Linked DNA regions of Tamandua tetradactyla. The protein of the gene in region 1 interacts with the protein of each later gene in a pairwise test. Links are inferred from orthologs where the notes say so. Each region holds a gene or a part of one and is shown in the gene's direction. Other genes may lie near its edges. The genes, in order: tyrosine-protein phosphatase non-receptor type substrate 1-like, CCDC57 and NOL3.

Evidence for each region.
Region 2: the proteins of tyrosine-protein phosphatase non-receptor type substrate 1-like (region 1) and CCDC57 interact in a two-hybrid assay, tested with the Homo sapiens proteins (2 studies listed by BioGRID). The two-hybrid records come from large-scale screens. The link is inferred for Tamandua tetradactyla from reciprocal best matches to the Homo sapiens genes SIRPA and CCDC57.
Region 3: the proteins of tyrosine-protein phosphatase non-receptor type substrate 1-like (region 1) and NOL3 interact in a two-hybrid assay, tested with the Homo sapiens proteins (2 studies listed by BioGRID and IntAct). The two-hybrid records come from large-scale screens. The link is inferred for Tamandua tetradactyla from reciprocal best matches to the Homo sapiens genes SIRPA and NOL3.

Annotation. Positions count from the first base shown.
Region 1 is NC_135327.1:23,659,186-23,662,927, forward strand, and holds the start of tyrosine-protein phosphatase non-receptor type substrate 1-like, read left to right. Parts: upstream 1-1,287; 5' UTR 1,288-1,532; intron 1,533-2,583; 5' UTR 2,584-2,592; coding exon 2,593-2,671; intron 2,672-3,742. UniProt on the Homo sapiens protein: Immunoglobulin-like cell surface receptor for CD47. Acts as docking protein and induces translocation of PTPN6, PTPN11 and other binding partners from the cytosol to the plasma membrane.
Region 2 is NC_135332.1:74,526,748-74,530,489, reverse strand, and holds the start of CCDC57 (coiled-coil domain-containing protein 57), read left to right. Parts: upstream 1-1,146; 5' UTR 1,147-1,202; coding exon 1,203-1,248; intron 1,249-3,742. UniProt on the Homo sapiens protein: Pleiotropic regulator of centriole duplication, mitosis, and ciliogenesis. Critical interface between centrosome and microtubule-mediated cellular processes. Centriole duplication protein required for recruitment of CEP63, CEP152, and PLK4 to the centrosome.
Region 3 is NC_135342.1:60,868,830-60,872,527, forward strand, and holds NOL3 (nucleolar protein 3), read left to right. Parts: upstream 1-1,000; 5' UTR 1,001-1,928; intron 1,929-2,040; 5' UTR 2,041-2,052; coding exon 2,053-2,347; intron 2,348-2,511; coding exon 2,512-2,837; intron 2,838-2,930; coding exon 2,931-2,981; 3' UTR 2,982-3,081; downstream 3,082-3,698.

The DNA of each region.
Region 1 (3,742 bases):
CAGACCTGATGTTGCTCCCTGTTGTTTCTCACACACACAAAGACATGAGAATTCCCTTGTACGTCAATGTTGCCCAGAACCCTGCGGGTTCCCAAAGATTGTAGCCAAACATTTTATTTATTTATCAAACACCTGGAGCACTTGTGGCAGGCTAGACATTGGGCTAAGTGATTTACAAATATCAATTCAGAGAATCTTCCCAACAGCCTCCTGAAGTGGATACCCACGTTGGCCCCATTTCACATACGGGAACTGAGGCACAGAAATAAGTTATTTCCCCAATGCTACAGCTCCTAAGAGGTGGCGACAGGATTTGAACCCAGGGAGTCTGGTCCACACAGTCCATAGCTGCCCCCTGCCTGCCCCCCCCCCCTTTCTGAGCAGGACAGCAGGACAGCAGGACCCAGTATTTGGCCAAGCCCCTGTGGGATGGGGGGTGGGGGCTGGGGGTAGGGAAGGATATCACTTGGTAAAAGCTTTTAGCCTGGGAACCAGGAATTCAAATTTAGCTTCTACTCCTGCTCTTGCTGTGTGGCCTTAGGAAAGGTCTCTCCTCTCTCTCTCTCTCTCTTCCTCAACTTCTTGTTTTCAAGTCTAGACCTCACCCCTACCCTCACCCTCTTTGTTCAGAGTCTCTGAACTGCCACGTGAGGCAAAAGTGGTTTCTTCTGAGCTTATTTCCAACCCAATTATCCGAGGGTCTTGGACCCCTTCCCCTCTCACAGCCCCCAGCCTTCTTCCGCCAGGCGCCCAGGGCACCCCACTCTCCTCATCCATCTGGCCCTCTCCTCTCCGACCCAGGTCTCTTCTCCCGGTCTCCTCCTTTCCCTCCTCTTCCTCACTGTTTGCCATCTTCCCAGAGCCGCCTCAGTGCCCTCTCCCGGCCCACATTGCGGCTGCCTGAGCCGTCCCCACCCCCTGAACCTGCCACCCTTGACAGAGAGGCAAGAGGTCCCAGGGAAGCCCCTCTGGGGAGGGCCCCGGGACGCTTGTCCTCTCACCTCCCTGCCCCAGCCCCCTTCGCAATCCCCTTCCTCCCTCCGCCTCTTTTCCAGGCGTACTGAAGTCCTGCCTACACACACGCTATTTTTGTACCATCACTCTCTCCTTCCTCTTCCCCTTCCCCCCACATTCACTTACTTCCTGCTTTTTCCTTTACCTCGTCCCAGCTTTGAAAGAATCGGGGCCCCTCTGGCCTGCACCCACCCCCAAGAGGGGCCCTTCAGCTGCGGGACACGGCTTGGGGCGGGGCCATTGGGGGAGGGCGAAAGTCGGCGTGTCCCCGCCCCCCAGCCTCCACTCCTCGGCCACCTCCAGCGTCTGGCCAGCGGGCAGCAGGGACGACCAGCGTCCCGAGGCCAGGGGAGGTCGGCCGCAACTTCCCCGGTCCACCTTAAGAGGACGATGTAGCCGGCTCGCGGCGCTGACCTTAGAAAAACAAGTTTGCGCAAAGTGGAGCGGGGGGCCCTCCCGGCCTCTGGGCAGCCCCCGGCGGCGCTTGCACAGCCTTCCAGCCCTCCCTGGCGGCTCAGGTCCGAGCTCGGCAGGGAGAGGGAGATGGAGGAAGGAGGGTGACGGTTCGGGACCGGGAGGGTGCCAGGGAGACGGGGCGGGGGGGGGGGGGGGAGGCGGGAGGGGAGGCGGGGAGACGAGCCGCGAAGGCTTCTGAACTGGCACATTGTTGGGGCCGCAGGCTCGTCTGGTCCCGAGCCCGAGCGGGGTGCGCAGGCGGCGGAGGCTCGCGGGGCCGCCTCCCGGGGCTGCGGCCGTGGGCCGGCCGGAGGTGCTGCGGCCCCGCGCGGCCGCGGAGCGGGGGAGAGACGCTGCCCTCCCTCCCCGCCCCCCGGGGCGCGCTGCCGGCGGGCGCTCGCGGAGACTGTGTCGGCGGGCCGGAGCCCCGCAGCCTCCTCGGGCGGGAAGGAGGGAAGAGGGGGGAAGGGCCGGAGGGAGGGGGCCGAGCTGTCGGCGGGGGCGGGGGCGGGGGCAGCGGCCGGGACTGCGGGCCGAGAGCGAGCCGAGCCGCCGGCGCCGCGGAGGAGCCCGGGCGGGGCAGGTGGGCAGCGGCGGGGGCGGCTCGGCGGTGCCTGCCCCGCGCCCCTGCCTCGCGTTTCTCCTCTCTCCCGCGCTCTGTCTGGATCCGCGCGCTGCCTCGCTCACTCCTCTCTCTCTCCCTCTCTCTCTCACTCTCTCTCTCTCTCTCTCCCTCTCTCTCTCTCTCTCTCTCTCTCCCTCTCCTCTCTGTGTCTCTGGCTCTCTCCCTGGCTCCCTTGGGTCTGTTTCTCTCTCCTGCCGCCTCTCCCTGGCCGTCGCTGGCTTTATTTCTCGCGCGCTTGGGGTCTCTCTCCTTTTCCGTCTCTTGATCTCTCCTGGGGGAGGGAGGGGGGTGTCCGAAAATCGCGGCTGCGACGGCGGTTCCTAAGCCGCTCCAGGAGCCCGTTCTGGGGAGGGGAGGGGTGCAGCCCGGCCAGGAGGGGAGGGGAGTGGGGGGTGGAGAGTAGTGGGGGAGCCTTAGTCATTTCCCCGCTTCTAGCCCGCGCCCGCCCGAACGCGCACTCACCGCCGCTCTCCCTCCTCGCTCCGCAGCCGCGGCCCATGGAGCCCGCCGGCCCGGTCCCCGGCCGCCTCGGGCTGCTGCTCTGCCTGCTTCTCGCCACGTCCTGCGCCTGGCCAGGTAAGCATTCCCCGCTCCAGCCCCGCTGTCCTCCCCACATTGCAGGCTCAGGCCTCTCAGACCGCGGCTCGGAGCTACTAGGCAAATGTGGAGGGGAGGAGATACCTATAATCTGGGTTACAGGTGCGGAAACTGAGCCCAGAGAGGGCCTTCGACTTGCCCAAGGTCACACAGCCCAGGAGAGAACTCGGGTTCTCGCTTGCAGTCTGTCTTAACTCTGGGTGTGCCGGCTGGGTGCTGGGCACCCGGGCATTGGGAGATGAGTTGATTCAGTGTCCAGCCTGATGGAGGAGGCAGGCTGTATGCACCTCTCAGAGCAAGGTGCTCCTGGCCGCTCTAAAAGCTCTCAGGCCCTGGACTATGCTTTCCACATGTTTGACTCAGGATCTGAGAGAGGGAGTGGGGCAGAGGTCATCCCATGCTGCCTGGAATGGAACAGTAACAGGGTGTTGCAATTAGGAAAGTGTGAGAGCTCCACTTGGTGCGCAGAGGAAAACAGCATTACCGCTTATTGGGGGAGAGGGAGGAAGGGAGACTGGTTACCCTGGGGTGAGGTGCTGGGAACAACAGAGCCTCATGTGAAAACGGAGCATTGCCCCTGTGGTTGCCTCTAGCTGGATGCTTGTGCTCTGTGCCACTCTCCCGGCTACCCCCTTCCTCCTGCCTTCCCCTGGCTTCCAGGCAGCTCCCTGCAGCTCAGGTGCTCAGTGGGACCGTTACCTGTGGCTCTGAAAGCATGTCTTTTTATTGGCCTACATCAACACCTGGCTGCCGCCTGCAGGCGGGCTCTGACGGCTAGTGTGTGCAGTAGCCAAGGAGTGAGGTCACCATTTAGGAGTCCCACTTCTTAAAGGGGGTTGGCAAAAATGTGGGTCTCCTGGGAGGGCATGAGGGGCAGAGACACAGCATGGCTGGCGAGGGTGGAGACTGGGGATTCTGTCTTTTGGTCTCCTGAGGTGGTGGTGTCGGCAGCAGCGGAGTCTCTGTACCTCCCAACCCTTGATGAAGAAGATAGAGATGAGCTGCGCATCCCCCCCCCCCCATTTTGCATTTGCCTAAAGGCTGGTAACC
Region 2 (3,742 bases), on another chromosome or scaffold:
GGCCGCTGCCCCAGGCGGGAGCAGCGAGAGGGTCGGGTTCCCGCAGTCCCCTTGGACCCAGTCCCGCTTCTCCGACGAGGCCAAGACAATCCCCTACCGGCCACAGAAGCCACCCGCCCCTAGCGCAGTGCCTGGTACCCCAAGGTAAACGCCCCTTCACAGGAGCAGTCCCGCCCCCCGTCTTAGGTGCAGCTCTTACGCCCTCCAGGAGCCCCAGGTACAGCCCTCCTTCCCCCAGGCCGCCCCCGTGTGCAGCCCTCCTTCCCCCAGGTCCCCCCCGCGTGCAGCCCTCCTTCCCCCAGGCCCCCACCCGTGCAGCCCTCCTTCCCCCAGGCCCCCCACCGCGTGCAGCCCTCCTTCCCCAGGCCCCCACCCGTGCAGCCCTCCTTCCCCCAGGCCCCCCCCCCCCCGCGTGCAGCCCCGTGCAGTCCTCCTTCCCCAGGCCCCCACCCCGTGCAGTCCTCCTTCCCCAGGCCCCCACCCCGTGCACCCCTCCTTCCCCCAGGACCCCACGCGTGCAGCTCTCCTTCCCCCAGGACACCCCGCGTGCAGCCCTCCTTCCCCCAGGACCCCACGCGTGCAACCCTCCTTCCCCAGGCCCCCACCCGTGCAGCCCTCCTTCCCCCAGGCCCCCCCCGCGTGCAGCCCTCCTTCCTCAGGACCCCACGTGTGCAGCCCTCCTTCCCCCAGGACCCCCGCCCCGTGCAGCCCTCCTTCCCCCAGGACCCCCGCCCCGTGCAGCCCTCCTTCCCCCAGGACCCCCCGCGTGCAGCCCTCCTTCCACCCATGAGCAGTCCTTGTGCACCCCACCCGGCTCGGAAAGCTCATAAGCTCCCCTTGGGGTTAGGAGAGCCGCCGCCGGGGGACCTGGCGGAGGGAGCGAGTGTAGCCCCCGGGCTCTCCCGGCGGCCGAGCCCCCGAGCCCCGGAGCTCCTTCCCGGGCTCGCCCAGGGGTAGGTGGAGAGGCCGGGGCCTGCAGCGAAGTGTCGGAGGTTCCACGGCCCGAAGAACCCGGCAGGGTTGGGTTCGGCCCCTCCCCATAGGCCCCCTCCTGGTCGACTGCGCCCCGCTCCCCCACGGACTCGTCGGCGCCTGCGCGCGGGAGGGCGCCGGAACCCGGGGCCCGGACCTAAGTTTCCCCTCGGCGGGACCCGAGCGCTGTACCGAGCGCGCCCTGGGCTGGGCGGGCCGACGGGATTGCTATGGCGACGCGGCGACGCTGGGAGCCGCTCGGGGCTGGCATTCCGGGTAGGACCCGGGTCGCGGGACCCCGGGCGGGAAACTTGGGAGGGCGCGGTGGGGAGAGGCGCAGGGCGCCGACCCGCCCCCCTCTCGGCCCCGGCCGGTCCTCGCGGCTCGTGACTTTCCGTGGAAATCCGGCGTTGGCGCCTCAGCGCTTGATCCCCTCGGGCCGAACCCGAGGACTTGCCGTCACCCGCCGAATGGGGGTGATCGTTCTCAAACTGCTGGGACGGGCTTGGCCCGCGCGAGGCGCCTCGCCGTCTTTCTCCCCGCGGCACCGCCGGCACTCCTCCCTGCGTTGACGCGGTGAGGCGGGACGACCGGGCACGACCCTCCCGGGGCGCCAGGCCCCTCTCTCGGGCTCTGCTTCCATGGCTGGGCCTGGGGCCTGATGAGCCGGGCTCCGAGAAGGGACACCTCCCCGCGGCCCCCAGCCAGGAAGGAGGGATTCGAACCTCGGCGCTCCGGCTCCCCGGGTTGATTTTTTCGTTTGTTTGGTTTTTTAAAGGTGCAAAAACAGTACAGAGAACTCGCCTGTCCCTTTTACCAGGTTCCCCAAAACAAACCCGGACATCAGCATTGGCAGAGTGCAGTAACGGTCCGGGATCCTGCACCCCATTCCGCTGCCTCCTTTTGTTGTTGTTCTTTAATCTGGGTCAGTTCCTTGGGCTTTCTTTCATGACTGAAAGGTTTTAAGATATGAGGTTTTTGAGAGAAAGGAAGGTAGACGAAATGATTTTAAGTGAGCGTGGTTTATTGGCTGCGCTCTCGGGCAGAGCTCACCGAACCCAAGTTGGAGTGAGGTGAGTCCGCGCACGGCTTTGGCGAGTGCAGTTTTTAAGGGCAGGGGTTAGGTGATGACATGAAAGGGGCGGCACATTAAACTAAGGAGTATTATGCTAGTGGGCTGAGCAGCGGGCGGTCAGATGTCCGTGGAGCAATGAGTGAGCCGATGTTTGCTGCGTAAAGATCTTTGTTGTAACAGTTCACCTCCGGTTCCGAAGTGACTTCATGAGTCCAGCCATTGAGCCCTCCCGTATTCCCCCGACCTAACAATGACCTTGACGTTTTTGAAGGGTTCTAGCCAGGTATTTTATCGAATGCCTTGCAAATGGAGTTTGTCTGATGTTTCCCCAGGGTTAATGTAAAGTTCTGTATTTTTGGAAAGAAAAACCTCAAAATTGAAGTTGTATCCTTCAGGCTGGTGATGCAGGGTTGTCCCTTTACTGTCTTGATAAAAGTGGTGTCTGCCAGGTTTCTCAATTGTAAAGTAACTATTTTAACCTTGCAAATAAGAAGTGTCTCGTGTTTGTTTGCAGGGATACGTTGAGACCTGTAAATATCATTTCTACAACTGGTGTTAGCATCCTTAGGTGAGTCTTGCCTGAAATGTGGTATTTGCGAAGTGGTGGTTTTCTATTTCCATCATTCCTTCCACATTTATTAGTTGGAATTTTATTGTAAGGAAAAACTTCCCTTTCTCCTTCCCTTATCTATTTATTTAGTTTTTTTTTCCATGTTAGTATGCACTCATATATTTTTACTCCATGGGCTATACTCTTTCATGATTGTTTATTTATTTATTTTATTTTTTATTTTTTCCATTTAAAAGAGGGATCACTTTGTTTATTCAGGAAACCCCCACCTTTTCATTTACGTAGATTAATAAGTTTCATTTGGGGGGATTAATAAGTATAAGTTTTTTAATTATACAGCTTGATTGCATTATTATTTTTTTATTAATTAAAAAAAATTAACACAACATTTAGAAATCATTCCATTCTACATATGCAATCAGTAATTCTTAATATCATCACATAGATGTATGATCATCATTTCTTAGTACATATGCATCGATTTAGAAAAATAGCAAGACAACAGAAAAAGAAATAAAATGATAATATAGAGAAAAAATAAAAATAAAAAATACAAAAATATATAAGAAAAAAAACAACTATAGCTCAGATGCAGCTTCATTCAGTGTTTTAACATAATTACATTACAATTAGGTAGTATTGTGCTGTCCTTTTTTTTTTTTTTTTTTTAGAAATTATACCATTCTGCATATGCAATCACTAATTCTTAACATCATCACATAGATGCATGATCATCATTTCTTAGTACATTTGCATCGGTTTAGAAGAACTAGCAATATAACCGAAAAAGATACAGAATGTTAATATAGAGAAAAAAAATAAAAGTAATAATAGTAAGAACAAAACAAAACAAAACAAAACAAAACAAAAACCTATAGCTCGGATGCAGCTTCATTCAGTGTTTTAACATGATTACTTTACAATTAGGTATTATTGTGCTGTCCATTTTTGAGTTTTTGTATCTAGTCCTATTGCACAGTCTGTATCCCATCAGCTCCAATTACCCATTATCTTACCCTGTTTCTAACTCCTGCTGAACTCTGTTACCAATGACATATTCCAAGTTTATTCTCGAGTGTCGATTCACATCATTGGGACCATACAGTATTTGTCTTTTAGTTTTT
Region 3 (3,698 bases), on another chromosome or scaffold:
ATTGACTCATCTGTTGGCATGCACGGGGCAGGGAGGGAAAACCAACTACGCGAATATCCTCAGTCAGCACGCGGGCTCTGAGGGACCGGCTCCCCCAGCCCGGGGAAGAACGCCCCCACTCCCCGCCCCCTCCACCCCCGGGATTCCAGGCAGCCCTAGCCGCCCCACCCCCGCCGCAGCTGCTGCCCCCACTCGGCCCAGCCCTTTCTGCACTGTCATCTGCCCGGCCGAGGCTCGATCCGTGAGTGAGGCCGCCCGCCCGGAGCAAACGGGACCGGGGGAGGGAAGGGAAACCTTGGGCAGAATCGGCGTCCGTCACCACCAGCCGCGCTCGGAGGTCTGTGTGCGCCCCGCCCCTCCGCGAGAGCCTGAAGTGGCGCGGAGGTAAGGGCATCCTTGCGGTCGCGAAAGTGCAGAGGCTCCCGCAGTTTCCCACGACCTGGCAGAGAGGTTAGAGTGGGGGCCGTCGGTCGGGGGCTGGCTGTCTGCTTCTAGGGCCGCCTGACCTCCAGGATCTGACCAATGGTCCTTTAAGGACTGGCTCCGCAGCCAATTGGCAGCGAGGTAACCTCGTTGTTTCCTTACGAGCAGTGAGAGCCTCAGGAGTTCCTAGATCAGCCGGGGTCTCTGCTTCCCAAATAGGACACATTATCTCACTGGAATAATAGGATACATTAGCATGTAAACAATCTAGGGAGGAGTGAGGGAGAAAAGGTGCAATCTGCACCCCTTCCTCTATGCCTATCCTGGGTGGGTGCTGCCTCCTCTTTCTTCCCCACATACCCCACCCCGCCCCCACCCTGTGATGGGGGTGAAAGGGAGCAGCCTTCTTTGAAAACTTTCAGCTGAAGAGGACAGAGGGTCCTGTCATATCTCAGTTCAGTGATGAGGGCATATGCTGTTCGCTGGTGCATGCAGGAAAAGGAACCATTCTTCCTTTGGGAGACTCGGGCATTGGGGCAGACAGCAGAACATTAGAGTCTTAGAGGGTGGGGCCATGGAATGGAGGGAGGAGAAGGACAAGCTTAGGTACAGCATCTGCAAAGGATCAGAAGCACCAGGGCCTTCGGGAGTTCTCAGAGCTGGGAGAGATGGAGGGAAATGTGGACAGACCTGACTGACCAGGGTATGGGAAGTAGTCAGAGCAGCCAGGCCAGATAATCTGGATTCTCTCTGATAGGCAGCGGGGCTGTGAGAGACAGGAGTGGTTAGGGCTAACATCCTGCTAGGTGGGTGGGGGGTGTGGGGGGGAATGGAAGGGAGCTGCATTACAGACTATATTATAGTTCAGACTGGAGCAAATCAGAGTCTAGCTCTGCTGCTTGGTCTCTCTGAGCTTGTCTCATCTGTAAAATGGGGACAATAAATCCTACTCCAGAGGGCTGTCAAAATCACTGTGCTGTGGGGGTGGTGGAATGGGAGTGAGAGGTGCCTAAAGGGACTGGTATAGAAGATAAGGTGACAATGAGGATCCCTGATGGGAGCTGATGGAAACTCAGACTGGAGCAGCAGTACTTGGATGTAACGGACAGGACATGAAGGAAGAGTGAAGGGCAGGAGGGTAATCCTGGTTTCTGTTTGATGACCTGGAGGAGAGATTGACACTTTGATATGCCAGGAGGGGTCTGAGACACGGAGCTGGAGAGGAAGAACTGGCAGACAGGACAGGGGCTAGGACCAAACCCTGACTCCTAGACAAGGCCTCTTAGAGCCTGGTAAGTAGGTGGAGGAAAGACCCCCAAGGTAGATACCACCCTGGGAGAGCTTAGGGGAGAAGAGGAGAGGCGGACTATCGCCGACGTTTAGGGGACCGGAACAGGAGCCTGAGGAGGAGACAGGGAAGAAGGAGTCCCCGAAGCAGGAGGACGACGAGTCCCGCGCGATGGCCTCCAGGTCCTGTGCTGCAGCGCTGTCTGGTCGGAGTAGAGGTGAACTTCAGCCCCAGCAGGGGTGTTCACTGCGGCCCTGGGAGAGAAGACGGGGGCGGGGAAGTCCCTGCCCCACTAAGACCGCCCCACTACTCCTTTTTCCCTCCGCCAGGCTGTCGGGACAATGGGCAACACGCAGGAACGGCCGTCTGAGACGATCGACCGCGAGCGGAAACGCCTGGTAGAGACGCTGCAGGCGGACTCCGGGCTGCTGCTGGACGCGCTGCTGTCGCGGGGCGTGCTCAGCCCGCCCGAGTACGAGGCATTGGACGCGCTGCCTGATGCTGAACGCAGGATGCGCCGCCTGCTGCTGGTGGTGCAGGGAAAGGGCGAGGCGGCCTGCCTGGAGCTCCTGCGCTGTGCGCAACGAACCGCGCAGGCGCCTGACCCCGCCTGGGACTGGCAGCACGTGGGCCCCGGTGAGCGCCTTGGGCAGAGCAGGGGCGGGGTGGGGCCTGGAGAGCCGAGCAAAAGCCCAATTGGAGTTGGTGGGAGCCACTTGCCAGAGAGGAGGGACGAGTGCGGGCGGAGGAAAGCAGGGACGGGTAAATTGAAACTGAAGACAGCGCCCCCTCTCTTCCAGGCTACCGGGAACGCAGCTACGACCCTCGGTGCCCGGGCCACTGGACGCCTGAGGCACACGACTCGGGACCTGCTTGGCCCGGGCTGCCTAGAGCTTCAGACAGCGACGATGTGGGGGGTCCTGAGGGCCGCGAGGAGGTACAATCCGGGATCCCCGAGAACCCCGAGCTAGAGCAGGAAGCCGAAGCCCCCGAAGAGGCTGAGCCGGAGCTGGAACCCCAAGTGGATCCGGAACCCGAGATGGAGGCAGAACCAGAGCCTGAACTGGAGCCAGAGCCTGAACTGGAGCCGGAGCCGAATTACGAGGAGGCGGAGGAGTCGGAAGGTGTGAGGAAGGCTGCCCCAACCCAGAGTGGCCTGGGGGGCAGCAGGCGGGTCCCCATCTCCTTAACTTTCCTCCCTTTATTTTATGGCCTCTAGATTCCTGAAAATCGGAGCACTGACTGGCCCCTCTCCGCTCAAGCTGGATAGGATCTCAGACCCAGCCTGGGCTGCACAGATGCCACAGAGGTTTTGTCTGGCGCAGATTGGAAATGAATAAACCCCAGACGGTCGGCTGGGCTGGGCTCTCCGCGATTCTGGCTCTTTCCCCAGGAATTGGGAGTGGGGTGGGTGGGTGGGTGGGTGGGTAAGCCCATGCCTTGAGTTCCAGTGACCTGGGCACTCCATGTCCCTCCAGGCCCAGCCACCCAGTCTTCAGTTTTATTTCTGCCCTCAGTAGCTCAAGCTACACCCCTGGAGACCCCAGGCATGCACTGGGACAAAAGACTGACCCCTGGTTGCCGCTCCACAGCCCTTTTACCCTCCTGAGCCATTTAGGGGCCTGTGTAGGCAGGCTCCAGCCTCCCTTCATGGAAGCCTCTGGGCCTGGTGCAGAGAGGAAAGGAAGGGGGACTTCTCTCCATTTAAGGAGGGTCTAGAGCTTAGAGCCTTGGGAAGTGCGAGTATTAGACAGGATTATTAGACCTTGGGTAGACAGAGCCCAAACACTTCATTGTAATTGCTGTTTTAATCGTCTGACTTCCACTGCACTGGGAGCTCAGAGAGGGTTTTGGCCGGAACTGGCCCATTGAAAATGCTCTATACATACTCGATGAATGAAGACATTAAAACTGTGTTTCTGAGTTTTTCGGATGGGAAAACTGGGGCTCAGGAAAGAGTAAGAATGTGATTGGGTCAGCCTCATAC